Linked DNA regions of Mus musculus. The protein of the gene in region 2 interacts with the protein of the main gene of each other region in a pairwise test. Links are inferred from orthologs where the notes say so. Each region holds a gene or a part of one and is shown on either strand. Other genes may lie near its edges.

Region 1 (5,869 bases), on a different chromosome or scaffold from region 2:
GTGGTTAGAATGACTAGGGGGTGACTGCTTTGAGCTACCAAACTGGTGATTTAAGCTTTTTTTCTTTTAATCTTCTGTGTATGGGTGTTTGCCTGTGTATGTGCATGCCTGGTGCCTGTGGAGCCCTGAAGAAGGCATCAGATCTCCTGGAATGAAGAGTTGCAGATGATTGTGAGCTGCCATGTGGGTACAGAGAACTGAACCTGAGTACTCTATGAGAACAGCTAGCACCCCTAACCATCGAGCCATGTTTCCAAGTCCTGTTTAGTTCTTTCAGATACTACAGGTTGTATGGACAGTTTCCTCCCAGATAGAGACATTCCATCCTGCAGATTTGCTCCTGAAGCAGGAAGGTAAACAACTCTAGTTTCAGAAAGTCTGAGAAACTAAACAGATGGACTAGGCCCCTCCCTGCCAGAGTAAGGAAAGTCCCTCTGAGATGAGAGAACAAACAAGTGTGCAAAGAAGACCTTGAGACCAGACCAGCTGTCTGAAGAAGGGTGAGACCAGAGTCACTAAGAAGGAACAATCTCCAACCTGCAGGCTTTGTAGTGAGCTCTATGTCCCCAGCTTTTGTGAGTTATCACTCACGCTATCATTCACACTGTCACTCATGCTGTCACGCTGTCACTCAGGCTTTGGTGATGCAGCTGTCTTTGAATCATTCTGCCCATCAACCTATATGTAACTACAATCCTATATGTACCCATATTCATACCCATAATATATAGCCTTAGTCCTATTTGTAACCCCAATAAAACTCATTGGTTCACCAAATTGGACATTGGTGGTGTCCATATTTTGATGTGCCACAGGCTCCCCATCTGTGGTCAGTTGATGTGTGTAGTGTTTCCCCAGGAAAACTTTTTGTCACACAATATTATGGCATCCCATAAAGCACAAACTGACGGTTACCACTCACACTGGGAATGCTGGGAACATCATGACTTGGACTCAGAAGACTTTAGGCTTACCTGAGGTACCCAGGGTCTCCTTTCTGCCCCAGAAGTACTGGAGTTGCTGTTTCTACGCCCTGCTCTGAGGATGGGGGTAGGTGGGGAGGCCTCCATCTGCATCAGGGAATCCTCCAGCTCCTGTACCTGCCAGTGATAGGGGATCAGGCCATGGCTTCACATATTCAACCAATTCTCTACAGCAACAGCAGCCCCGTCAATGTGGCCTGGAACGGTCCCCAGCTGCCACAGAGGCCTAACTAGGGGAGTGTAGCTACTGGCAAGGTGATGGGGGACACAGGACGATCACCACGTTTTTTATATTTTTAAGATTAATTTTTTTATTTATATACATTGGCATTTTCCCTGCATGTGTGTCTGTGTGAGGGTGTCAGGTCCCTTAGAACTAGAGTCAGTTGTGAGATGCCACTTGGATTCTTTGAATCAAACCTGGGTCTTCTGGAAGAGCAGCCAGTGCTCTTAACTGCTGAGACAACTCTCCAGCCCTCTCCACTTTATTCCTTTCTAAATTTTTAGTCATTTATACCTCCCCAACTGAAGCCACCCCCCACTTCAGCCTCCCAAGTAGTTGAGATTTCAAGTGTGCCCACTACATTCAGGAGAATTCATTTTTGTTGTTGTGAGAAGTCTCTGAAAGCTGTGCTAAGCCACGCCCCTAGCCCCTCATTGGAGGATTCTAGGCTGTCACTCTACCCCCCCCAGTCACGCCCACAGCCCTGACTGGAGGATTCTGTATCCCTACTTGTCCTAGTTTTGTTTTGAGACATTTGCCTATCTCGTCAAAGCTAGTGTTAAACTGTGATCCTCTCATCTGAGCCTCTGAAGTCCTTATCATTACAGGCTTGTCCCACCATATCTGGGTTTAACATCACCCATAATCTGTAGGTTTCTGGTCACCTCCACTAAACGCCCCGGGCCACTTCACCCCTCCTCCACCTTCAGGATTATGGTCCACCGCCAGACTGTTCCGCTCACAGTCATCAGATGGCACAAGTGAACGCCTGCAGCAGGTCAGTTCCCCTCAGAATCCACCACACACCAGAGCACACTAGCTTTCAACACCCTGCATACTGTGGCCTTCCCCCACGCGCCTTCATCTCTCCCACTCTGTTCCAGCCACAGTGATCTCAGGATCTGTGGTGGTTCGTGTGAACTTGACATCAACTGGAATCATTTTGGAAGAGGGACCACAATTGAGAAAATGCTCCCCGAAATGGACCTGTGGACACTTTTCTGATTGACAATTGATGGGGAGGGAGGGGCCAGCCCATTGTGGGTGGTGCCATCCCTGGGCTGTTGGTCCTGGTTCTATAAGAAAGCAGGCTGAGCAAGCCATAGGGAGCAAGCCAGTAAGCAGCATCCCTCCATGCCTTGAGGTTCCTGCCCGAGCTTCCCTCAGTGATGGAGTGTGGCCTGAGAGTCTTAAGATGAAATAAATCTCTTCCTCCCCAGTTGCTTTTGGTTGAGGTGTTTTATTACAGCAATAGAAACCCTAAAATAAGTCTGGCATAGCTCACACCTTTAATCCCAGCACTGGGAAAGCAGAGGCAGGTGGATCTCTGTGATTTTGAGGCCACCCTAGTCTACCCTAGTAAGTTCAGGACAGCCAGGGCTCTGTTACACAGAGAAATTCTGTATCCGAAAAAACGAAAAATAAAAAACACCCCCCAAGACAGGATTAGTGTGTGTGTTTGTGTGTGTGTGTAGTGCAACTGACATAGGTAGGGTCTGTAATCCAGGCTAGCCTTGGACTCAGTCTACAGCTGAGAACAAAGTTGGTCTTAGCCAGGGCTCACCTGAGTGGAGACTGTCCCTCTTGGACTTCCTGAGTGTTAAGATCATGGGGTGCAGCCTGCCTGTCTTCCTTGCTCTCCCTCTCACTGTGCTGTCTCTGTTGGTCACTTCCTTGGCACATCTGTCACTGTTCCACATCAGTGTGTCTGCTCCCAAGGCTGGATCTGCCTCTTCCCCAGTCACCAGCTTACCTGTCTCTGCAGAGTCTCCTTCTCTGCCTGGGCGTCCTGCAGTGAAGCCTGAGTGCATGCCAGCTCATCCTCCCGGTTGCACAGGGCTAGCCGCAGCCAGGCGTTCCTCTCTATGAGGCGAGCAGCCTCCTGCTGTCCAGGTCCTGCGTCTTCTTTCTCATCACCAAAGGGCCCCGGAGCCCCCTGGTCTCTGTCTTCTGCTTCCACTGACTTTGGAAAGCTTAGCGAGTGGTGGCGCAAGGCAGCTACAACTGCCTCAAGGGAGCTCAGCCTGCACTGCAAGGTCTCATACACACTGGGTACTGATATCTCAGCAGGGCCACTATCCAGGGGGGCTTCTTGCAGGACCTGGTGGGCTTCCACCTCAGGCTCGCACTGTTCTTCTGGGCTCAAGGATAGAACCGCATGGGATCCCACATCACAACCCTCCTTGATCCTGTGAAGATAGTGGGGGAACCCCAGCCACCTGAGGCTCAGAAGAGACCTGGAGGGCTAACCCTAGGGTCGCTAGGAAGGTAGAGTAGGGAATGAGCGGCATGGCTGGAGGATAAACAGGAAGAGGAGAGAGGCAGGCAGCAGAGGCAATGGGCAGGTGAGTGGCAGGAGGCAGCTTTGTGCAGGGGGGGTGTTGGGGTGTTGGGCTAGAATATAGGGTACATACTAAATGCATCCTACCAGTTCCTTGGGCTCTGAAGGCCAGGACCAAGGTATTCCTGATGCAGCTCAGGTTTAGTCTCGAAGCGTCCATTGTTGGCATCTACTTCCTCTGAGCTCTCAGCTACAGGGTCTAGCTCCCCCTGTGAATGAACCCCGTTTCCCCCCAACACACACACACAGTCTCTTGGCCATCATATCCAGCTCCACCTGTGGAGGACTCCCCTACACCACCACGGGCTCTGAGCCTAGCAGGCCTGGGTTCCCAGGATCCATGGGACTGAGTGTGGCAGGAAGAGGGGCACACTTACAGGCAGAGGATGCCTCCCTCGACGGCTTCGGGGCCGTGTGGCCCGGGCACTCATTGCCTCTGTCACTACAGTCTGCTTTCAGTTCTTGCCTTCGTCACCTTAGAATCCTTGTTTTTTGTTTTTTTGTTTCCTGTAGGATTTTTGGGGTGTCTACTCCGATTGACACATTTAAATATTCATATACCTCTCCAATAGTGCCCACTAACTATCTACTTGTTCCTTACTCCCCCATCCCCCATCTCTACTGGGCATTCTTCTCCCCTCAGCTGTCTGAAGGCGTTTCTCTTATCTGTGCCCCACCCCCCATAGAAGCATTGGGTAGGGACCCTAAAATCCTCTTTCTTCCTACGGCTCTTAGCATCAAACTCCCTCACCCTGGGGGTTGACCCTGCTGCGCTCTTCTCTGCTTCTCCAGAGCACCTTGGGAAAGGCCTGAGATCCAGGGCATATCTCAAGCCATTCTGGCCACTGGCTACTGAGGCTGCGATAGCCAAAAGTGGCCCGGGAGGGGCTGGGAAACAGGAAGCCCCCCTACCCTGATCACATGGACAGTTATTGTTTCGTTTCCTTCTCCAGGATGCCGGCTTCCTCCAGAACGGGAGGAGGATGGAGGACCAGGACCTTTGTCCCGCTCTAAAGATATCAGTATCCCCTTACCCGAGGCCAAACCTTCCATTTTCATTTTGGATTTTTTGTGTCCCCTGTTCACCAGGACTCGCTCTAATGTGAAGGTCTTTGTGTGTGTGTGTGTGTGTGTGTGTGTGTGTGTGTGTGTGTGTGTGTGTTTCTAAAACCAAAAAAAAACCAAAACTGTAGGAGTTGGCTTCAGCATTTGCACAGCTTTTATTTTTCATTACTTTGCTTTACTCATCTTTGTCTGTGGTGGTCCTACTTGTCTCCGAGATCGAACTCAGGCCCCTCAGGATTGGTGGCAAGAGCCTGCACCTGCTCAGTAGCCCACAACGTTTCTCTTCAATGAGTCTGAACTGCTGCATCAGGCGGTTGGAGGCACTGGCAACAATAAGCTTGTCCACAGTGTGTCTGCTGCCTTCTTTACTTTTTCTTTACATTTTAGTTTTTATACAGCGTCTCATTTAGCCCAGCCTGGTCTAAACGCCCGATCTTCGTCTCCGGGTCTCTGGAGTGTTGGGATGACAGGTGTGCACCACCAGTCCTCATCAAGGTACTAGTGAATGAATGCCAACCTAAGTTACATAAGTAACTGAGAAGGCCTTTGGCAAGTCCAAGCCAAGTCCTACCCCGTCAATCATCAAACGGCCCCGCCCAGCTCAGGCTTCTGTCCTATTTCAGCAGAAGCCTTGAGAACCATAGCGTGATTAAACCGGAACTACAAATTACGCCCAATTTTGCTTCTATCCACCACAGATCACACCCACTCCCAGTATTACCCATCTTCAGCCCCATTCCAGCCACTCCAAGCCACACCCCCAGAACGCCTCAGCCTATCAGCTTCCATGTCCCGAGGGCCACTGAACTACATTTCCCAGAAGGTGTCTCGGCAGCGCCGCACAAACTTCCGGCCAGGAAGATGGCGGCTTCCTAGAGTCCTGATTGACTGGCCGCGGTGCCCAGGCTACAGAGTGGAACCTGCGGCACTGTGAACGCGCGTGAGCTTTGTGTCGCCGTGGTCTAACTTCGACCCGGATTGCTGTAGCTCCAGGTTCGTTCTTCTTGAGGACTTAGGGGTGGGGGATTCGAGGTCCCGAGATGCCACCCCTAAAACCGCGCATCCATCGCAGGGTCACTTGGGCTTCCTGTGTTTCCCTAGGGACCGGACCGGCGCCGCCTCAGGGGAAAAGTAGTTTTGGGAAACTTCAACTGTATCTTTTCGGCTCCACAAACCAAGTCTCCCAGGTGTGGGAGCCACTGGAGGCCTTAATGGGTCGAATACCCAGTGACCAGGCAACTGGGGTGTTCGTCCTGT
Region 2 (5,734 bases):
GAAGGGGAACTACTACAGAATCCAAAAGGCAAGGTTAGTACATTGAGACTTTCTCAGAACTATGGACTTTGATGGATTAGGTCTTGGTTTTAGTGTTGACAGGTGGTGCTGTCTGCTCACTGAATGTTATAGCCTGAATGGTACTTCCATCATGGAGTCAGTTTTGGGGCCTATTAAGTCTGGGGCCCTGTTACAGTTTGGAGGTCTCATTCGAGCTCTATCTTAACTAATCATCTAACCTGTAAGGAAGGCTTCCCAGAGGCCCCATGAAAGGAAAAAAGGATTGCTAGTTCTGTGTCCTTGCCCAGGGGCAGACTTGAGGTCTAGTCTGAGGCTGGGGCCAGGGCCTTGAAGGATTGAGGATTCAGTTTGTGGGAATTTGACTTTTTCTTCCTAAAGAGTGTGAGTTGGGGCTGGTGAGATGGCTCAGTGGGTAAGAGCACCCGACTGCTCTTCCAAAGGTCCAGAGTTCAAATCCCAGCAACCACATGGTGGCTCACAACCATCCGTAACAAGATCTGACTCCCTCTTCTGGAGTGTCTGAAGACAGCTACAGTGTACTTACATATAATAATAAATAAATCTTTAAAAAAAAAAAAAAAAAAAAAAGAGTGTGAGTTATCATTCCCAAGACACTCCTGTGCTTGGTCTGTGGTGTCCCTGAGAGAACCTGTGTCCCTCTTATGTGATGTCCCTGAGAGAACCTGTGTCCCTTTTATGTGATGTCCCTGAGAGAACCTGTGTCCCTTTTATGTGGTGTCCCTGAGAGAACCTGTGTCCCTCTTATGTGATGTCCCTGAGAGAACCTGTGTCCCTTTTATGTGATATCCCTGAGAGAACCTGTGTCCCTCTTATGTTATGTCCCTGAGAGAACCTGTGTCCCTTTTATGTGGTGTCCCTGAGAGAACCTGTGTCCCTTTTAGGCAGCACTGCTTGATTAGCTTCCGGCCGACATCATCCGTGGTATGGTTGCTTTCTCCTGAGTCTGTTCCATTTCCCTCCTACAAACTGTATACAAGATTCTCCCTCCCCTCCTCTTCCACCTCCTCCTCCTCCTCTTCCTCCCCCTTCCTCCTCTTCCTCCTCTTCCTCCCCTCTCCTCCTCCTCCTCTTCCTTCCCCTCCTCCTCCTCCTTTCTCCCCCTCCTCTTCCTCCTCCTCTTCTTCCTCCCCCTCCTCTCCCTCCTCCTCCCCCTCCTTGTCCTCCTCCTCCTCTTCCTTCTCCTCCTCTTCTTCCTTCTTCTCTTCCTCCTCCTCTTCCTTCTCTTCTTCCTCCTCTTCCTTCTTCCTTCTCCTCTCTTTCCTTGTAAGACAGGTGTATTAGCTGATTTTGTGTATAACCTGACACACCCTAGAGTCATCAGAGAGGAAAAAGCATCAGATGAGTAATTGCCTTCATGAGATCCAGCTGTAAAGCATTTTCTCAATTAGTGATCAATGGGGGAGGGCCTAGCCCATGGTGAGTGGTGCCATCCCTGGGCTGGTAGTCTTGGGTTCAAGGCACTAAGTTCTTTTCTATAAGAACACATGAAGTTGGGGAGGAAACAGCTATGGGAAGATTTGGAGCAGGTACAATAGTACAATGGAGGGTGGACTCGATCTAAACATCAGCACATATAAAACAATTTTTTAAAATTAAATTTGTAGAGAGTTGGAGCATCTGTGTTGGCAGAGCACCACCTTGCCTCTGGCTAGAGATTTATTTACTCCTTCTTTGGATTGCACCTAAGAAAGTGTGTTGTGTTAATTCCGAGACACTATTATGTAGCTGGTCTCAACAGCCAGTTTTGACCTAGGAAATTGACAATCTAGGTCTAGCCTAGGTTTCAAACGCTATGATTCTGGGCGTGGCATGTCCACTGTGTGCCTTTGTTGATAGTTTTGGGTCTTCTGACAGAGCAGCTTTGACCTTATGATTGATCAAGAAGAAGATCATGGTCACCAATTAGCCCTCCGAACTTGAGGAACTCCCTTGCACCTAGTCGGGAGATGCTTTCCCCGCGCTTCACGGGAGTGACGTTGAGACAGCTCCTAGCAACTCGCGGAGCATCCAACAGACGCCTTGCCCCCGCTGCGGGGCACGCTGGGAGATGTAGTCCTTCCGGTCAAGTCCTGTGGTTCGGCCCGCTAGTGAACGGGCGACGGACTACAGTTCCTAGAATCCTCCACGCCACCGTCTATTTGAGGCCAGAGGCTGCGAGGTGGGACTGTCGCCGGCGGAGAGGTGGTAGGCCTGGCCGAACGGAGCGCACTGAGTGGAGTCGGAACCCTGGGATCTGGTTGGGCTTGGTTTCCGTGGCCTTGTTTCTGAAAGGACAGCTCTTAACAGGGCCCCTAGGGACTAGGGAGAAGCTCGGCTGTGTCTGGATTCAGACGGGATGGGCGCGCGGGGGATGGAACATTGAGAGGCACAATGCCTGGCCTGGCGCTACACTCCGGGACCCGCTGTGGCTGAGGGGCGGGCTCGCGGATTTTAAAATGCCTTCATGGAGTTGGTTGAATATGTGAAGACGTGACAATATTCTGGAACACTTTGGCCATTACAAGCTGCCCCTAGAAAATGTACCCCCGGCCCTGTCTGGGAAGCTGCGACGGAATGCATAGGAGATAGCAGAAATTCTTTGATGTGATATGAGCGAAAACGCGTTTGGACTTGTAGATCGCTAAAGTTGCCATTGCACAGGAGAAACACAAGCATTCCCCTGTGTCCACAACCCCAGATACACTTTGCATTTTAATAAGAGACTAGGCACACCGAGAAGACAGATGAGCGCCCCAGCTGCCTTTCTTCCTAGGCACGTGAAGGTGGGTTTGGGTGAAGTGTAAGAGACAAAGAGGAGGTAGGAAATGCTGAGAAATTCTGTTCCCTGTATGAAATGTTTATCATATGTGAACTCACTGTCAGGCTTTGTGCTAGATGCAGCCTATAGAGAGTTTCCTGGCAAGGGATTTGAGTCCGGATGTGGTTTCTCTTTCCAAATGGCTCCACTTGTCACCACTTCCAGGGTAAAGGATATGGTCTACTTTTAAAATACTCTCCAAGCCAAGGAAAGGCCGATAAGTGAATAAGGAATCCTCATGTATTCTCTCTCCCTCCCACCCCTCCCCCAATCTGTTTCTTGCGGCAGGAGCTTACCCTAGCCCAAGAATTCACTATATATATCATTCAAGCTGGCCCCTAACTCAGCAATCCTGCTTCAGCCTCCCAAGTGCTGGGATTGCAGGTATGAAGCACTGCCTAACTTTTTCTTCTTTTTAAAATTTTAATTTTATGCGTATGGGTGTTTTGTCTGTGTGTCTGTCTGTGCACCACATGCATGTCTGGGCAATCAAAAAACACATCGATCCATTCATCTGTCCCCGATGGGAGTGACAGTTTGTAAGCCCCTATGGGTACTGGGGATCCAGTCCAGCTCAAATACTCATCTCTGTCTCTTTTGATTTGTTTGTCAGGGTTTTTCGGTGTAGCTCTGGCTGTCCTAGCAGTCACTCTGTAGACCAGGCTGGCCTCAAACCCAGAAATCCACTTGCCTCTGCCTCCTAAGTGCTACCACCTCCAGACTGCTTTTTCTATTACATACCTCAGGTTGGCCTAGAACTTGTGATTTTCCTGCCAAGTTCTAGGGTTGCCGCTAAGTGTGTATGATCATACCCACCTCAGGAATTCTTTTTGAACTTTACTTACTCATCTGGCGTAGTGGAGCACACACGCACATGGAGGTAAAAGGAAGACTTGCAGGAGTCAATTCTCTACCTCCATAATGCGTGTCCTGGGCTATCCAACTCAGATAGGCAGGCCTGCTGGCAATAGCACCTTTACTCACTGAATGGCATTCAATTCAGGAATTCTGGGATTATAGAAATAGGTTTGACCAATTCCTGGCTGTCCTGGAACTTGCGCTGTAAACCAGGCTGGCTTCACGCTCTGAGATCTGCCTGCCTCTACCTCCTGCGTGCTATGATTAAAGGCATGAACCACTGCTACCCTGCTGGGTTTTGATCTCTTAAGTGAAGGATTCTTAAGAGCCTTGGAGCCAAGCACTGGGAAATGCTGAATTCTACCTTTTATTTATGTGTATTTATTTATTTTTGAGACTTGCGTAGCCCAGGTTGGCCCTGAATTTGCTATGTAGCTGAGGATAGCCTTGAGATTCGGGATTTTTTTTTAACCTCTTCCCAAGTCCTGGTATTTCAGCATTATGCTGTGTCCAGATTTTGTTTTTAATTCTATGAATGTGTGTGTGCATGTGGGTGCAGATGCCCATGGGTGCTAGAGGCTTGGATCCCCCTGGACCTGGGGTGCTGGGGGGCTTGTGATCTACCCAACACAGTGCTGGAAACCCAACTCAGGTCCTCTGCAAAACCAGTTTGGGCTCTTGGCTCCTAAGCCGGCCATCGCTCCAGCTTCCATCTTTTAAGCAGTTTCTTTTATTTTCTCTATTAGGGAAGATGAGCTTGCTGGGCAAGAATACACATGACTGGACAGTGCTGTGAGGAGCTGCAGAGAGCCCCGAAGCCCAGGATGGTAGGCAGAGTACAGCACTAGACACATGAAGATAGACACGATGCACCCCACCCCATGCCACCCGACCCTCATCATCCTGGCTGCATAGAATAGAAGCTCTGTGGCAAGGACCAGCGCTGGTCCCATGCCAGGGCAACATTAGGAAAATCAAGCAACTGAGCTGGGCCTTTCATCCTAGAACGTAGAGGCAGAGACAGGCAGGCGGATCTCTTGTGATTCCAGGACAGCCTGTTTTGACGTGGCAAGCTCTGGGCCAGTAGCTACATAGGGAGGACCACCCCCCACCCCCCAAAACAAAATGAAACAAAACAAAACAACCCTGCCAAACCGTTAAGCAATGAGCAAAGTTTCTCTTGAGCCTCAATTTTTGTTGTTTTGTTGAGGCCGGGTCTCACTGTTGCTCTGTCTGGCCTAAAATTGTTATGTAGAAGACCAGGCTGGCCTGGCATTCATAGAAATCCCCCTGCCTCTGAATCCTAAGTGCTGGAATTGAAGACGAGAGCCATGTTGGCCTATATCTTGAGCCTCTGAGTCCTCTGAATTTTGTGCCAGAAACATTTTTTTTCCATTAATTTATTATTCACTTTCTATCCCAAGCCCAGGTACTCCTCCCTCACACAGCCCCTCCTCCTTGAACTCTGAGAAAGGGGAGGTCTTCTGTGGGTACCACCTCATCCTGTCATATCAAGCCACTGCAGGACTAGGCCAGTCCTCTCCCACTGAGGCCAGACAAGGCAGCTCAGTTAGGGGAAGAGGATTCACGGGCAGGCAGTGGATTCAGGGACGGACCTCTGATCCAGTTGTTGGCGGACACTGGTAGTGTTTTTAGACATCCTTCAGACGTCTACACAGAACAGAAGAAAGCATTCTGGTCATTGCGTCTGTCTGGGAGGCTTTTGTGTGTAATATCTGTAACCCAGAGGAGAGGCGTCCGTCCGCAGCTAGACTCTGCTGTAAAGACTGTTTCTGGGTTCTGAGTAAATTGATTTTTTGAAGCTGCAGGAAAACAGAACTGATTTCATCTGTAAGTGCTCCTTCCTCTGGGAGCCTAGAGAAGGGCAAAGCATATGTCTTGCCCAGTTCTAACACAGGCTCACAGTTGGATTTTGTTGATGTTATTTCCCCCCCTCCCCCATTTTAGGCACTGAGAACCAAGAAAGGATTGAAAGGTAAGTGGAAATGTAGATTACCACCCTTAATCCAGTCTCCT
Region 3 (5,868 bases), on a different chromosome or scaffold from region 2:
AGCTGTAGACAGTCTGGTCTTTATAGTGAGATCCTGTCCCCCAAAAGAAAACAAACAAAATTCTATGCCACATTGCCCCAAGACCACAGCAAAGATTCACTGGAAATCTCGTGACCAGATCCGAAGGCTACATTCATGGGAAACATACATTCTGAAGCTGCTTCTGTCTCAATAATCCAGAGAAAACACCACCAAACCAGATGGGCTGGCACACGCTTTTAGTTCCAGCCAGAGGCAGGCAGGATCTTTGAATTCAAAGTTGGCCTGAGTTCCAGGACAGCCACACCTATACAGAGAAACCCTGTCTTGGAAAACAACAACAACCCTAAATAAAACAAACCACCACCTAATTTCTTCTTCTGATTCTACCACACTCCCTGTCCCTAACGTCCATTCTTATTAATATAACCATCTCCTAATTTGTTCTTCACCTTTCTAAATTCAAGATCATTGTTGTCGTCTGCTTTCTTCCTCCTCTCCACTAAGTGCCAGCAGCTATTTTGTTTAAATTAGAGGCTACTATGAATGGACTCCGAGCTCTTCAACCCCAAAAGATAACTTCCCTAAGAAAAACTGAAAACCAACCCAATAAGAACCAGTCTTCCATTGAAAAAGACAATGTGGCTACATCAAAACAACTGCTTAGGGCTCTCGGAGAGGTAGCTCAGCCTGTAACACAGGGTATCCCTTCCAGAGGACCAGAGTTCAATTCCCAGCACCCACATGGCAGCTAACTTCCAGGGCATCTGATACCCTCTTCTGACCTCAGTAGGCACTTCACACACGTGGGTACACAAAAACACATGGAGGCAAGACATCCATTCACATAAAACACGATTTTTAAAAGTTACGGGGTGGGGGGGGGGAGTGAACCCCTGAAGGACTTTATTTCATTTTACCCATCCATGATTCCCAAACCAGACGGGATTCTCAGGTTTGAAATCTCAAGAGCTAGACTCCAACCTTCCTGAGGGAGTGACTAGGTGTGAAGTGTAAGCATACACCCCTAGGGCCTGGCCCAGCAACTGGCATGAGGGAAGTCTAGTAAACACTCAATGAATGAACAAACACGGGCTGTAAGTCAGGTTGCAAAAACAAACAAAATGATCACAGGTATATCAGCATTACAGCTGGGTGCGAGTAGGTACAAAAAGTGTAACAGCTTCGAAGACAAGGACTCTCTGGCGATAAGAGACTAGAGCAACTTCATACCTAGGACCTGATTTCCCACAACTCCCTGCTCCAAAAGTTTTCAAAACCTTGGCTGCAAATGATCATTCCAGTCAACGACAAAACGATACACCTCACATGCTGCCAACAAATGGAACAGAAAAATACCTGAATATCGGTGAGAAAGAAAGGAAGCACAAAGGGTAGGAAAGAAAAGTAAAGACGGAGATGGAAAGAAATGGGAAACCAGAGACTTAAGGGACTAGAGGAAAAAGCAGCGAAGCCCACAGAGCCGTGTGGGTGACAGCAGAGACTAACCTTGATCATATTCAGTCAGACCCTGGACGGTCGGCTGTGCATGCATGCACTGACCCATTTAATCCTCCACTATCCCAAGATAAAAACTTATCATTTTACGGATGACGAAACTGAAGCTAGGAAGTTGACACTTGCTCCAGTAAACGGGTAGGAAGGGGAAGCGCAATGACCTGACCCCGAGTCTGACCCAGGGTCACCCCATTCACTGTCCATTCCGCCTCGGGGGCCACACCGGGAGGCATTCGGTATCCATTTAACCAACCCTTACTCAACTCCTACTGGGCGGCCAAGCCAGCGGCAATGTAAGGGATCCAGCTGAGGATCGGGGGGACAGAACAGAACGCAATGTCAATCTCCAGGCTGAGGAGCCTGGAGCCGGCCGCGAGAGGGATGCAGGGTGGGGCAGGAGGGGAGGAGCGAGGGGAGCCGGGACGCCAGGGCGGCCCGGGGCGGTGTGCGAACGCTGCGACGCCCGGTGCTCTGCACAGACTCCGGCTGACAGATGCGCCGCGTGCGGCGGCTGCCAGGGGGACGGCGACGCGGCTGTGGAGACGCTGAGGGGCTGAGACAGGGGAAGGCGGCTCTGCCAGGGGGAGGAAAGGCGAGGGGCGGCGTCGGGGACGTCGGAGGCGTCCGGCACCCGCCCGCGCGCTCCCGAACTCACCTCCCGCGGCAGCCCCTCAGGACACCTCAGCCCCGCCAACCCGGAGGAGGCGGGATGGACTCCGGGCCGCAGGGGCTGCTGGGAGCCTGTTGCCTAGGCAACGGGTTAGGCCTCAGAGAGTAGCAGTGACTCCGCGGAGGGCTAGAGCGGCAGAGCCACAAGTGTGGGCGGGCCCAAGGACGGAAGTGACGTCACTTCCTCAGTTCGCAGGCGGGTTTTTGGGTCTTCTCAGGAATCTACCTGTGGGCCGCCGCATGGAAGGTGCGTGACAGTGCTGTGTTTCCCTAGTTGTGGGGGCTGCAGGTCGTGGACGTGGTCATGAGGGGTGGGAGGGTGGGTGGGGGAGGTCATGAGTCCGCGCGCGACGTGACATGCAGGGCGCGCCTGGACCTCGTGGGCTGCCGGGAGCCTTGTTCATTACGGTGTGAGTGTCGTCTGAGTGCGGTGATGTGCGTGAAGTGTCAGTGGTGTGACGCTCAGAGCATCCCTGAGCACATTGGAGCCAAGCCTGACGTGCCAGCCCCTCGGAGAACCCTTCCCTAAACTCCGGCATTCAGTAAGACGGGCCGTGGAGCTTGCAGTGTGTAATAAAGGCTGTCTCTGTCGGTTCGTGTCGCATGGGTCAGTGCGTTAGCGTATGGCTTGCTGAGTCCCGTTTTGCTTTGGTAGCTTACAAGAGGTAAGCAGCTAAACTGCTGTGCCTCTCTCTCTACCAGCTGCCCTGCGACTCACATTACTGACATCTCCCCATTTGTCTCTGAGTGTCTAGAAGTCAGAGCTGTGCTTTTGGTTCCTAAGTGGGTCCGGCAAACTTAGTCAGCCGTGATCCTCACCCTTAGGGACCCCTACCGAAGAAGGACGAATGTAATGCAGGAGGTGAGAGCAGTTCCTCCATGGAGCCCGTTTGATTCTCAATCAGCTGTGTGTGCAAGTTATGGGAGGGAACAAGACATAACTCCTACTGTGGTTGAACTCAGTCCTGCGGAGAAAATAGAATTAAGAAATAGAAGAAATTGACTCACTAGGGGATGTGATGACAGCCAACGAATAGGAGATAATATGTCTACTGCAGTGACTCGTAATGCAACCAGGGGTGGAAGTGGGGGCGGCGGCGGCGGGGGTTGGGGGGGGAGAGTCCAGGAAGACTTCTTGATGGAAATAACTGTTCAACTTGCTTCCTGTTGCCATGGTAAAATACCGTCACCAAAAAGCATCTTGGGAAGGAAAGGGTTTATTTGTCTTACCCTTCCAGGTCCCAATCCATCTATGAAGGAACTCGGTAGGAACCCAAGCAGAACCAGAGGCAGGAGCCATGAAGAATAGCTGCTTACTGGCTTGCTTTTTCCTAGGATTTTCTTCTCCGTGTATAATACCTACATTTATGTAAACGTACCATGTGTCAGCTGTATCCACAGGGGCCAGAAGAGGACATGGTATCTTCTGGAATAGGAATCTCAGCTGATTGTAAGCCTCTTTTGGGTGCTAGGTCCGCAGAGCCATCTCCAGCCCCTCAGATCGTTTCTTACACAGCCCAGGACCAATTGCCCAAGGGCTGCGGCACCACAGAGAGTTAGGCCCTTGTACATCATTCACCATGCAGACATCCTCACGAACAGTTGTTACACTGTGGTTCTCTCTTCCCAGGTTGACCAAGTTAACCACAAAAGTAACCAGGACAATGACTTCCCTTTTTGCATTTAACTATTGCAAATATATTTATTGCAACTTACAGATAAGTTAGCAATTATATACAAGTAGAATTTTAGCTATAAATTCTGGTTGCGTTTAAATTTGGAAGTCAGAAGAAGAGAGTCTCAAAATAGTATAGTCTCCTAAAGAAGGTTTTGTTAAATTACAGAAAAATAAAACTGGAAGCTGAAGATTTTTTGGCTCGGTTCTAGAGCATTGGAATTTAGATCTCCACATGACACTGGGCAGCTCTCAAACACCTGTAACTCCAGCTCCAGGCCACCAGTCACCCTTCTGGCCTCAGCAGCCACTCCCACACATTCACACACATAAAAACAGATCTTTAAAAATGAAATCTGCCCCGGAAGCTCTTAGGGAGTAGCACTAATGGGTGTGAGTTTGTTGGAGGACATGTCACAGTGGGTGGGCTTTAAGGTTTCAGATAGTCAAGCCAGACCCAATGTCTCTTTCTGCTGCCTGCTGAACTAATTGTAGAACTCTCAGCTAACTTCTCCAGCACCAGGTCTGCCTGCCATGCTTCCCACCATTAGGATAATCGATTATACCTGTGAACTGTAAGCCAGCCCCAATTAAATGTTGTCCTTTATAAGGGTTGCTATGGTCCTTGGCATCTCTTTACAGCAATAAAACCCTAACAACAAAAAAAATAGGGGGGCAGAGGCAGGTGGATTTCTGAGTTCGAGGCCAGCCTGGTCTACAGAGTGAGTTCCAGAACAGCCAGGGCTACATAGAGAAACCCTATTTCGAAGAACTAACTAACTAAATAAATAATCTGATCATTTAGATGTGAAGATACAATTAAAAGTTATATTTCATGTCTTAAAGGTGGACATTGTACCTGTGTGTGCAAGCCTTTCATGTGTTGCTGCGTTGACACTTTTACCATATGGAATTTAACATATGGAATCCTCCACTAAAAACCCAAAGAATTTTCTTTCCTTAAAGGCTGGCTGCCTGGCTTTCTTTCTTTCAAGTGAGGGGATGTTTAACAATTAAGATTGAAATGAAAAGTGAAAAGAATTCTGTTATTATCCTCTAGTGTCCAATGTCCTCATCACTGCCTCCTCCTTCCTATAGGAGGGTAGAACATATTTACATCATGTATTTATTTTAATTAGCTTACAAAGTAGGTTTCTTTATGGCGTTTTGCTCGGGGCCCTCTTCTGACCCCACCCCCCTTCTCTGTGCCATCTGCACTCAGACGCTCTCATCCCCAGGGACCCCTTCCACTCTCTATCACAGGTGACCAAGTGTTTACCCATTTGGTAGTGAGGGTGGACCATGAGACGAGACCCCGAGCTGCTCCAGGTCACTGCCTGCTCTTTGCTGTGCTTGAAGTGGCCTGTGTGGCCTATGGCTCTAGCCATGTGAGCCCTGGTTTGCTGTGTCTCTGAGCCTCTTCATGCTGGGTTTGTCCTGTTTCTTGTAGTCACCAAGTTCATGGTCACTCACATAAGACCCATGCTGACCCTCTTTCCCTGGCTTATTTATACCTCAGCTCAGAGGTTCATGCTGACACAAAACCCCATTTTGTTTTTTATTTATGTTAATCCTACTACGGAGCCCACATTAGCCTCTTTTTTTTTTTTTTAAAGGCAGTTCTAACTGAAACCCAGAACTCAGTGGTTGGCTGACCTAGAGCAATCTTCTTGCCTTAGTCTGGGATTAAAGCCTTTGCCAAGACTCCTGGCTTTCTGTTCCCTTTTTTACATAGTACTATGGTCTGGACTGGTTAAGACAATTTACTTGTATATTATTTGACTCTTTTGGAGTAAGTGCCGTGGGAAAAGGTCCTGGCTCTCATTCATTCACTTCCTCCCCCATGCCTGACCTGTTGAAAGTAGCCAACCAGGATTTGTTAGTTGTTTGAATAAAGAATGAATGAAGGGCTGGTGAGATGGCTCAGTGGGTAAGAGCACCCGACTGCTCTTCCGAAGGTCCGAAGTTCAAATCCCAGCAACCACATGGTGGCTCACAACCATCTGTAATGAGATCTGACTCCCTCT
Region 4 (5,116 bases), on a different chromosome or scaffold from region 2:
CAGGGAAAAGGAGGCACCCTTGGGGTCCTCCATGGTGGGCTGGAGACAAAGAGACTCAGACTCATGTCTGCTCCCGCTCCTGATTGGACCACTCTGAGGCTCTGTCAAGCAGGAATGATAAGTGTTCCTTTTTCTTGGGGCTGCTGTGAGTCGGACCACAGACACAACACAGAAAGGCTCAGCTGGGAAGATGGTCTGGTCAGTAAAGAGCTGTCTTGCAAACATGAAGGGCCCAAGTCTGACACCGAGAGCCCTGGGGTTCACCGGCCAGATAGCCTCTCCTACTTGACAAGCTCTAGACCAGTGAAATCCTTTCTCAAAAAACAGAGCATCTGAGGCATGTCTCTGCTACCTTCCACATTTATACACACGTGAACACAGTTAAACACATAAATAAGTAAATAAATACCTAAGTGCATAAATAATAAAGTGTTCAGCATGGCGCCTGGCTCTAGAGCATTACAGCTGGTAATGTTTTTAAGAAGACAGGGAGACACCACAGCAGGTAGCAGCCCACAGGGGTCTAAGGACTTGCCCCAGGCCACATCAGGACTCTGTCTGCCCACTTTGTGGGGTAGGCAGAACTCACCTCATGGCAAATCTCAGAAAGTCCTGCAGCTCTTCCGGGGAGTAGACGTCACCCAGAGGGTTTTGGGGGTTGATGAGGATAAGGCCTTTGACCTTGACACCCTGAAACCATCCAGGGGGTGTTTCAGTGTCCCCCACCACCACTCCAGAGCCTTACAGTCTCACTGGATGAGGCTGATAGCTGCCCAGGAACGCATGGCAGAGACAGGCTCCTGACCCAACAAGAAGCAAATGAGTAGGTCCCAGACTGACATCTGCTGGGCCATCCCAGCTATGGAAAGAGAGCAAGCAGGGAGCAGGGAAGCATGCCAGCTGCCAGCAGAGAGGCTGCTCGTGTTGGAGGAACTGAGAACTTTCACGGCGCCTGCACTGAGCACTTGACAGCATGAATGGCAACAGTAAATGCAGTGAAGTGCACGGATGCTGGACATGGGCAGAAAGCAAACGTGGGAACTTAGGTCTCTGCCTTTCTTAAGGAGCCCCTCAAAAAGAACAGGATCACCCCTCAATTTGCCAGAGAGACTCACTAAACTATAAACTCTTATGATCCATATTTGACCCTGAAGCAGAAACAAAGGACTAGAGTAGGCAGAGTATTCTTTTTAATTAGCATGCTGTGGTGGTTTCAATTAGAATCCCACCCCCACCTCCCATAGGTTCATATGTTTGAATGCTTGGTCTTAAGTGGAACTGTTTGGGAAGGATGGGGGAGGTGTGGCCTTGTTGGGTGGGTTTTGAGGCTTCCAAAGCCTAGTGTCTCTCTGCAGACCAGAATGAAAAGCTCTCAGCTACTTCTCCAGTAACCATGCCTGTCTGCTTCCTGCCATGATGATAATCGACTAACCCTGTAAAACTGTAAGCATACCCCAATCAAATGCTTTATTTTATGAGTTACCCTGGCCATGGTGTCTCTTCACAGCAATAGAACAGTAACTAAGGCACATTCATTCATGAAAAACAATAACGGGCTTCACTCCTGACATTTTCCTGCACATGTAAAATTAATTATGATCCTATCCCACCACCTCCTGCTACCCTTTATTGTGAGGGGGAAATTTCTGATGAAATTCCCTGGTTCTCTGTATACTGTGGTTTCAAGGTCTTTTTCTAATGCGAAGGCCCTCCATAGATACAGGATTCTGCCTGACCCCCAGTCCCAGGATGGTTCCATAATCCACCCCCCATATGTCCCTATCAATGTTACAAGCCCAATTCCCAGGAGATGAAGGGTCTAGCACCTGCTGAAACCCACCCACTCCCAGTGCTGGATTTGACTGAATCTCCAACCTCAGAACTGACTCCTTGCAGGACCATCTCCAGCTTCTCTACGGTGAGCTGGAAGGGGCGTGTATTCAATCCAGTTACCTGGGGAAAGACCCACCAAAGTCAGGAGCCAAATTCAGTGACATGGCCCCAACCCCAAACTTGAACTCTTGGGACTCTCTTTCCCTGTCATCCCCAGCCTCTTGGGCACAATCTCTGAAAAACAGGAAGGACTGCTTCCCTTTCCTGCCTTCCACCCCACCCTTATCTCTTAGGTTTCTGGCAGAGGCAGCGAGGCTTCTCTGATTGGCTCTCAGGACTTCCAAGGTTTAAACATCCCCTTTCCACCCTCTCATTTATGGGTCTGATCCTTGGCTTCTCCATGAATCCAGGATCTTAGAACCTGTAGCTTGGAACTTCCAGAGAACCCAGGCAGAGGTGTCCATGCAACAACAGAAGGCACCACTACTGTTTCAGAGCAACCCCAAAATCCCTAACACAGGCTCCCTTCACACCCACCCACAGATTCAGAACCAGGAAACCCTTGCCTACAGGAAAACTCAAATGCCGGCACTCTTACCTTGCTGTCTAGGTAGACATAAGCCAGTCGGACGTTGCCATAGAGATAGATGTGCTGAGTGATGGCTCCGTAGTAAGGTGTGGGGATCAAGAGAGCCTCTAGGAGCAGGGGCAGACAACCTATTGGCCTCTGGCTTGGATGCTACAGACCCTGTCATGTACACCACCACCACCCTTCCTAGCCTCTATCATCTCTGGGAAACATTTGGGGCATATTCTTGCTCTCAGTTCCCCAAATCTTAAAGCTTGGTTCCCCAAGATCAGGCTTTTTCTAGTATAGATGCTCCTTCACTTATAATGGGGTCACATCCAGACTAACCCACTATAAGGTGAAATTATATAAAAATGTATGTGGCCCTCCTAATCTCCTGAATATCCTAGCAGCCCATAACAGGGCAGAGTATTGGTGTTGACTCAAAATCTCACGGCTGCTTGCAGGTAGAGTGGGGGAGCTCACTGCCACTGCCCAGCATTGCATGAAAATACCCCATCACACAGCACTTGCCAGAGAATCTGTCATAGTTCAAAATTCCTAAGACCAGGGGTGTGGCTCGGTAGGTAGAGGGCTTGCCTTGCATACGTGAAACCCTGGCTTCCACCCTCAGTACCCCAGCCAGACAACCGTGGTCACAGCCTAGCACAGCCCTGGCAAAAACTGAGGGAGTAAGGCATGGCGTCCGCTTACCCCCTGCCTCACACAGCACTGTGGCCAGAGCGGAAAAGAGAGAGGCACAGCCATTCAGAACAACCACCTACGTGTGACAGGAGACAAGAATGCCTCTGTCAGGAGACAGAGAAGAACAAGGGCCATGGAAAGTGCTCTGGGGATCTACCCTGACAAAGGCCTCAATTGGTTCCCAGCCAAGCTGATTTCTGGGCACCTTGCTCTTGATTAAGGGAATGATCGATGGAACTGATCACTCCCAGGATCTCTCTCAAAGGTGGGGAAGTCAAAAGGATCACAGCATAACGGGGTTGGGAAGTAAAACTTAGAGGCAGGCAGACCCCAAGTGCCCTTCCTGACACTGCTCACCCCTAGGAAAGGTAGGACTCACATTCTCTGGTTTCAGGGGTGCCGGGCTCTTACAATAGAAAGACAAGAACTTTGCCACTTCTTCCCGGAGGCTAGAAGAACAAACCAACAAAATACAATACTGTCAGAGCATCCTCAGCCCAGTCTACTCCAGAGCCCCTCTGGGAGCCTGTAGGTGGCTGGCTACCACTGCCCCATCCTCCCTTCCCAAAGTAGCAGACATTTATCTCCACTTCAGCATACCCTCCCCCACCCAGCCACAAAGTATTCTGGTCTAGGTCACCCAACCTCACCTAATCAGGAGACTGTGGGGGAAGAGATAAACACTCTATACATCTAGCTGATAATGATAATAATTAACATTATTATGACAGGAGCTGTTACCATGGCTCTTACTGAGCTTCAACACCACACAAATGTTATTCAGAGACTGTTTCATGGTGACTGTGATTACTATCATCACCATTTGCAGATAAAGAAACTGAGGGAATCTGAAGGAATTGACTCCCTTGCTAGTAAGTGGCAGAGTCCTTACTCAAGCCCAGTGGCCTGCCCCAGAGCTCACCATCTTGATGACCTTGTTCTAAGAATGTGAGCTTTGGGACACATCTTGGGTCAGGTCCTGCTGGACCACGAATCCCTTAGAACAGTGCCTGACTCTTAGTAAATAATCAGTACAGAGCTGGTGAGATGGCTCAGTGGGTAAGAGCACCCGACTGCTCTTCTGAAGGTCCGGAGTTCGAATCCCAGCAACCACATGGTGGCTCACAACCATCTGTAATGAGATCTGACGCCCTCTTCTGGAGTGTCTGAAGACAGCTACAGTGTACTTACATATAAATAAATAAATCTTTAAAAAAAAAAATCAGTACACAGCACAGTTGGTACCATTCCCTGACCCATCAAACCATTGAGAGGGGGCCCCAGTCAGCTCCCTTGTCATCTCTAAAGCTCCTGGAAAAGCAAGGGCAGCCTCCTCACTTGCCACAGACTTAGGGTCACAGGAACCAAGATGGGAGTTCTGGGGACAGAGCTGAGGCTGATAGGCCAGCCCATGGTCACCAGGTCTCCACAATTATGTTCTCAGCCTACGGCCGGCTTCTTCACTCAGACTCAACTGATGTGGTGGACAGAACAATTCCTTGTTGAGGCACTCCCCTGTGTGCTACAGGGTTAAGAGCACACCACTGACCAGTAGATCCTTCTTTCTGTTACACCAAACAGAAATGTGTCCCACCTCTACTCGACCTCCATGGGGACCTACAGGTCCCATGTTGGGACACACTGGCCTGGGGCATCTACTTACAACAAATGTCCTCTCCAGTCAGGGTACTGCAGCAGAGATGGTTCCACATGAAGCATGTCACCCTGTGTCAGCTGGGGACACATAGGAAAAAGAGCAAGGTTGATGGCCAGCACTGTCACCTGCATCCACACAGCACTGTGGCCTTCATCAGCGGGTTTTCTCCTGCTTCTCAGAGAAACCGTGAAAGGAGCACAGGACAGCATTCCCAGGCCCATTTCACAGATAAGCAAACCAAGGATCACAAAGTGATGGCAGGGCCACCGAGCTAGCAAGTGGCAGAACTGAAAGGACATCCGGAACTTTTGGCTTTAGCTCTCTATACAACAAAAATCAAAGGGGTGGGTGCC
Region 5 (5,846 bases), on a different chromosome or scaffold from region 2:
AAGCATCTATCACCAGAAATAAAAGTATTCCGATTATAGTGAGAACTAGGCAGACTTATCAAAGGAAGAGATACAAAAATACTTACTCTACCAGAGGGTTGAGCTAGCTGCCTTTCCAGGGTCCTGAAACATCACATTGGGAGGTGCCACACAGGTGCCACTATCCCTGAAACCTTCCCCACTCACTACTCCCAACCCTATTCCCAGCTTAGAGGGCTCTGTCTCCCACACACATCTACTCCTCACCGCTCCTTTGAAAAGGTCTGAGATTCTCCTTTGGGTTCATCTGCTCCTGTAGTCTCAGGGCTGGCCTTCTTGCCCTCTCTTTCTTGGATACACCCTTGGGCTGGGGTTCCACTGACTCCTGCAGAACACTTAATAACTCCTGTGATGATTTCAGGGGTGTCATCTTCTCCGAGTGCATTTCCTGCCCCTTCACAGAGACTGTGACCTAGAAATAACCCCCCGTTAATTGACATGGTCATAACAAGGGGCATTCCCAGGGGGAGACCATCCTCTGAGGCCAGGCCAGAGTGGAGGGTGGGGAGTAGGACAGACAAGTGTTTATTCCGTTATCATCAGCTTAGAGTGGTTGAAACTGCAGAAAGATCAAACAGAAACCCAAATAGCAGCTGGAAAAGAAACTTCCCCCATTTTTTCTCTTAAGAAACTGAAGTGAAAGACTTACTGTAACAGAGTAGGCATCTCCAAGCAAGCCCTACCTGAAAAAGTAACCCTTCCAGATCAGAAGTATCAAAATCACCAAACCTCTTTACATCCGACTGATCTTAAACTGCCCCTCCATCCTTGTCTCTCCCCAGCCACACACTTCTGACTGTATTCCCCCTCCTCCTCACCGAATGTCCAGGTCTTCCAGACTCTCTTTCTAAATCTTCCACCAGTGTCACCGCCTCCTCTCCATTTTCTGGACATTGCTTCTGTACCCAGTTCTGGATCTCCACAGGTAGCACAGTCAGGAATTGCTCTAGCACCAACAATTCTACAATCTGCTCCTTGGTCCGCACCTCCGGCCTTAGCCACCGACAGCAAAGTTCCCATAGTTGGCTGAAAGCCTCCCGGGGCCCAGCCACCTCCTGGTAATGGAATCTTCTGAAGCGCTGTCGTAAGCTTTCAGAGCTTGTGCCATTTCCTCTCCGAGTGGGTTTGGCCATCTTTCACAGCAGAAAGCCGTTTCTCTCCTCACTGTCTGGGTTCTAGGACTTATTACACTATCTTTGCATGCCCTTGGAGAAACACCTGCAGATGAGTCTCTCTGTAAAAAGGAGTTTTATCCTAGAGTAGAGAGAAATGGCGCTATCTGAGGAGAGTATCTTTACATGTTTAAAACCTTGTCAGAGCCGGCCTGACTTTCAATATGCTCGAAGTGGCCTTCTGAGGCAGTACCTTTTCAGGACAGCAAATCAATAGGCAAGGTGAAAATGACCTTTTAAAAACTGCATTTCTAGGTGACGTTTAGAGTATCCCCAGGAAGTTGCAGAGAAAAGAAAAATCTGTCCGCTTCGCTCCCACCTCAGGTAAATCATTAGCGCCCCAGATCAAATCGGTCAAAACGTTTGGCGAACGACAACAAAAAGCCTCTGTCCAGCGAGCGCCGGCTATTCTCCCCTAGAACCACCGCCGTCCTTCCAGAAGCTCCTGGTGTCTGCCCCGCCCCTTGAACACCAAACTACAAATTTCCACCCCGAACCAAAGTCAAGTGCCGAACACTGGGTCTCTTGCTCGCGCCTCCCGAACGAAGTAAGAACTCGGCAAGAGTTCCGGGGCGACAGATGGGGAAGGTCGCGCACCGGGGGAGCCGACTTGGGCTTCTAAATTGAGGTGGACTAGGGGAGAGTTACAGGAGTTGGTGAAGCGAGGAAGCTCGAGGGGCGGCAGTGGTGGGTCTCCTGAGAACGAGGCCGATGCGGGCCGGTGCTGCGAGTCCGTGGGCTTCGAGCACAGCTCCACAGCGGCGGCTGCCAAGTTCCAGCTTTGTTTTCTTCCCTCCGGCCGGGTCACTCTGGGAGACGTCGGCAGTCGGTCAAAATGCCACAGACCCTGCCAAGGCGTCCTGAGGACTCCCGCCGGCCCACCCCAGGCCGCGTCTCTCTCAACCAGCTTCTCAACTCACTCTCATCCCTTCCCCTCCTGGGCTAGCCTCAGTCCCGCTCTCAAGCCGGAAGTCCGAGCGGGCTTCTCCTGGAGCCCAGGACGCATGCGCGACGGCACCGGCGCCTCCTCGCGGCTCCGCGGCGGGAGCGAGGCGGTGGGCGCCTGGGCCGCGCGCACTTCCGGGATGCGGCGCGCGGCTCTGTGGCATCTCCTCTCCCGGTGGACTGCGGGGATTCAGGGCAAGAGATTCCGCTGGGTGTGAGGGGTCGCCCGGAGAGGCGCTGAAAAGAGGAGGTGGTAGATCTAGGGACTCCCGAGCCGCCCTAGAAATGATTCACGAACTGCTCTTGGCCCTGAGTGGGTACCCAGGGTCCATTTTCACCTGGAACAAGCGGAGTGGCCTGCAGGTATGCAGGGGGTCAGAGACGAGTCGCTTGCCGCGCGGCGGGTGCAGCTGAGCCGCAGCGAAGGGGCGGGACCCGGGGAACTCCAACCGACCGGCGCCCGCGAGCGGGGAGAAACCGAGGGCCAACCCTACGGAGCTCCGGCTATGGGGGCCCTGCGGTCCCGCGACTCCTGCTAGAGAACCACTAGGAGTGGATAGAACCACACTTCTTTTCACTGCATATGAATTTGTTGTTAAACTGAATCCCTAAATGTGTAGCTGGAATTAGATGATAGTTATTTGAGGGAAAAGGGGGAGGGATAGGGAACTCTTGCATTGATTCAAATTGAATTTTGAAAGTAGTGGAAATGTATACAAAGCGCTCAAGACACAATACTCAGTAAATTGTGTTGGATGAAAAAAATGAATTTGTAAACATATGGTGTTTCCCTCCTTTCTTCGAAAATTTCTGTACCAGGTGAAGAACTTGAGAGGGGGTTTTTCCTGTAATTAGAAGAGTATAACAGGAATGTACCCGTTAGTTGTTTTCTCTTCCTCTCCCCCTCTGTTCCTTTATCTCCCCCAACCCCCGTGAGAAGCCCAGATATAGCGTGATACTCAATATTTTGCCGAAACTAAATTGGCAACACTGAGTTTAATAGCCAGGCGTAGTGTTTGTGCCTGTAATCCCAGCCTTTGGGAAGTTGAAGCAGGATTATTGGTGTGATTCAAGTCCAGCCTGGGCTTCACTGTGGAACCTTCTCTCAAAAAAGAAAGCAAGAAAAGAAGGGAACAGAGGGCAGAGAAAGGCAAAGAAAAGAATGACAACTACAAATGTGTCTAAGTGTGTTGTGTAAAATGGTATCAGTGACTTCAAGGTGGAGTTGACTTTTTCACAGTAATTAAGCCTAAACTAGAATTTTTTTTTTTAAAACTAGAGTATGTGTCTATGTTGTATGAGTGTGGGCATATATGTCACAGAGTGTATGAAGAGGTCAACTTTATGGAGTCACTTCTCTCTTCCCACATTTGTGTAGGTTTCAGGGATTTAACTCAGGTCTTCAGGTTTGTGTAGCAAATGCCTGACTCTCTGAGCCATTTCACTGATCTTAAACCTAGAACTTTTCTAAAACTCTGTCAACAAGAAGTGTTCAAATTTGATAACTGTACCCAAGGAGCTAAAGGGATCTGCAACCCTATAGGTAGAACAACATTATGAACTAACCAGTACCCCGGAGCTCTTGACTCTTAGCTTCATATGTATCAAAAGATGGCCTAATCGGCCATCACTGGAAAGAGAGGCCCATTGGACTTGCAAATTTTATATGCCCCAGTACAGGGGAATGCCAGGGCCAAAAAGTGGGAGTGGGGGGGTAGGGGGGTTGGGGGGGTATGGGGGGCTTTTGGGATAGCATTGGAAATGTAAATGAGGAAAATACCTAATAAAAATATTTTTAAAAAGTCACAAAAAAATTGATAACTGTAGAAGTGTCATCAGTAATAAAAGACACACATACATATATATTGAATCTGTAACTGTGATTAACACCTGTCATTCATATTATCTGTTATCACAGTTATCTCCACTTTTTACTTCTGAAAACTAAGACATTGAGAGGTGCCATGATGTAACTTGCCTAAGCTTTCAAGCAAAACATAATTTGAAGATATAAGCCAAGGGAGTCTCTGTCCCTGTCTGTTTCTGTCTGTCCTCTCTCCTCTCCTCTCCCCTGATCCCCTCTGTGTAGGTCAGAGGACAACTTGCAAGAATTTCCTACTATGTGAGTCCCAGAACATCTTTCCAGCTCCTATTGTGTGAATTCTTTCTCTAGGGTACCTATTTTAAGAACAAGCAATTACATCTGGATGAGGAACACGACCTTGTAATTGTGTAACAATACCTTGTTAACCAGAATTACCAACCCAGTAACAAGGAAAATTAAAACCATGTAAAACCATGGGCACCTTACGGAAAGGAAATAGAAAAGAGAATAGAAAGCATTTTAAGCTGCAAAGAACCTTGATTGGTGACTAGCAGGCATTAGCTTCCTTTATGACTGGTGACTAGCAGGCATTAGCTTCCTTTATGACTATCCCTCTTCTTTCAGGTTTCCCAGGATTTTCCATTTCTTCACCCCAGTGAGACTAGTGTCCTGAATCGACTCTGCCGGCTTGGCACAGACTACATTCGATTCACTGAGTTCATTGAACAGTATACAGGCCATGTGCAGCAACAGGTGAGATCCTGTTATCTGGATATGGGCTTCTACAGGGCAGGAGTGCTATCAGGCAGTGAATTCACTGGTAAAGCAAGTTAGAAATTTCTGGAATACTCCTGAGTTTATGAATCACTGGAAATGCTCAAGGGAAGGCAAGATCTCTGACTTTTCTTGGGTAACAACAAAAACTCTACTCATGTTCTTACACAGATTTTATGTAATGAGAATTCCTACTTCTCAACTTCTAAAAGAAAGTCCTTTCTTTTGATTTTTTGTTTTTGTTTGTTTGTTTTAAAATGAGCAACAGTAACAACATTTTGTGTTAATGAGTGATGAATGAAGACTCATTCAGGTTTTCTGTAATGCCATAAGAGCAGAATAACATTGGCTGGTTGTAAACCCGTCTGGTCTCATGTCCATCCTATGAACATTTCTCTTTAGGAACTTCAGGATCCTTCTGGTTTTTTTTTTTTTTTTTTTTTTTTTTTGTAACCTCTTCTGGCTGACTACATTGTGTTTTCTAACCTCTGAACACAAGGTTCTGTAACACATCTGGAGCTGAATTCTGTACTTCTGTACTGTTGAGAGCCTGGTTACCCAGATCTCTACCTCCATCATAGCCTTTAGCTAACTGTTAACCATTACTTCCTCATATAAAACGATATGAGAAGCTTTATATGAAGCTGACCAGAGTCACTAGGCTCTTCCCTCCAAAGAATAAATAATAAAGACCACTGAGTCACACTCAGACAAGCCCAGCTACAGAAAAGACTCTCAGTCAAGCCAGGCTGCCTGGAGAGCAGCAGGGACCAACCAGACAACTTGAAGGATCCTTGAAAGACAAGCCATATTTTATATGTCCCCTCGATGAGCGTCTTGATGCTTTTAAGATTTACTTTTATTGCATGGGTCTGAGTTCTGCTTGCTGCATCTGTGTGCACCATGTGTATGTCCTGTACCTGCCCAGACCAGAAGGTATTGAGTCCCCCAGGAACTAGAATTACCAGTGCTTATGAGAATCACCATTGGGAGAAGCACCTTAAGACACAAAGTCAACAACTTAGAATAGCTTCAGGTATTCCCTAAAACCAGACACACACACACACCCCAAGCAGCCCCCAAAGAAGCAG

Evidence for each region.
Region 1: the proteins of Fbf1 (region 2) and Ushbp1 interact in binary tests that used the Homo sapiens proteins (3 or more experiments, as listed by UniProt). The two-hybrid records come from large-scale screens. The link is inferred for Mus musculus from reciprocal best matches to the Homo sapiens genes FBF1 and USHBP1.
Region 3: the proteins of Fbf1 (region 2) and Cinp interact in binary tests that used the Homo sapiens proteins (3 or more experiments, as listed by UniProt). The two-hybrid records come from large-scale screens. The link is inferred for Mus musculus from reciprocal best matches to the Homo sapiens genes FBF1 and CINP.
Region 4: the proteins of Fbf1 (region 2) and Accs interact in a two-hybrid assay, tested with the Homo sapiens proteins (2 studies listed by BioGRID and IntAct). The two-hybrid records come from large-scale screens. The link is inferred for Mus musculus from reciprocal best matches to the Homo sapiens genes FBF1 and ACCS.
Region 5: the proteins of Fbf1 (region 2) and Tubgcp4 interact in a two-hybrid assay, tested with the Homo sapiens proteins (2 studies listed by BioGRID and IntAct). The two-hybrid records come from large-scale screens. The link is inferred for Mus musculus from reciprocal best matches to the Homo sapiens genes FBF1 and TUBGCP4.

The regions. Positions count from the first base shown.
Region 1 is NC_000074.6:71,391,416-71,397,284, forward strand, and holds the start of Ushbp1 (Usher syndrome type-1C protein-binding protein 1), read right to left. Parts: upstream 4,387-5,869; 5' UTR 4,299-4,386; intron 4,055-4,298; 5' UTR 3,979-4,054; coding exon 3,925-3,978; intron 3,757-3,924; coding exon 3,635-3,756; intron 3,396-3,634; coding exon 2,960-3,395; intron 1,101-2,959; coding exon 975-1,100; intron 1-974.
Region 2 is NC_000077.6:116,164,622-116,170,355, reverse strand, and holds the start of Fbf1 (fas-binding factor 1), read left to right. Parts: upstream 1-2,177; 5' UTR 2,178-2,765; coding exon of another isoform or gene 2,766-2,804; exon of another isoform or gene 2,805-3,005; intron 3,006-3,127; 5' UTR 3,128-3,223; intron 3,224-4,443; 5' UTR 4,444-4,473; coding exon 4,474-4,524; exon of another isoform or gene 4,525-5,665; coding exon 5,666-5,693; intron 5,694-5,734. UniProt on the Homo sapiens protein: Keratin-binding protein required for epithelial cell polarization. Involved in apical junction complex (AJC) assembly via its interaction with PARD3. Required for ciliogenesis.
Region 3 is NC_000078.6:110,885,611-110,891,478, reverse strand, and holds the start of Cinp (cyclin-dependent kinase 2-interacting protein), read left to right. Parts: upstream 1-2,333; 5' UTR 2,334-2,406; coding exon 2,407-2,413; intron 2,414-5,868. UniProt on the Homo sapiens protein: Component of the DNA replication complex, which interacts with two kinases, CDK2 and CDC7, thereby providing a functional and physical link between CDK2 and CDC7 during firing of the origins of replication.
Region 4 is NC_000068.7:93,839,434-93,844,549, forward strand, and holds part of Accs (1-aminocyclopropane-1-carboxylate synthase-like protein 1), read right to left. Parts: exon of another isoform or gene 5,063-5,116; coding exon of another isoform or gene 4,841-5,062; coding exon 4,770-4,840; intron 3,556-4,769; coding exon 3,486-3,555; intron 3,183-3,485; coding exon 3,116-3,182; intron 2,530-3,115; coding exon 2,432-2,529; intron 1,954-2,431; coding exon 1,876-1,953; intron 691-1,875; coding exon 590-690; intron 1-589. UniProt on the Homo sapiens protein: Does not catalyze the synthesis of 1-aminocyclopropane-1-carboxylate but is capable of catalyzing the deamination of L-vinylglycine.
Region 5 is NC_000068.7:121,168,953-121,174,798, forward strand, and holds the start of Tubgcp4 (gamma-tubulin complex component 4), read left to right. Parts: upstream 1-2,215; 5' UTR 2,216-2,441; coding exon 2,442-2,519; intron 2,520-4,605; coding exon 4,606-4,734; intron 4,735-5,846. Other genes in the region: Zscan29 (zinc finger and SCAN domain-containing protein 29), read right to left, coding at 247-451, 858-1,172. UniProt on the Homo sapiens protein: Component of the gamma-tubulin ring complex (gTuRC) which mediates microtubule nucleation.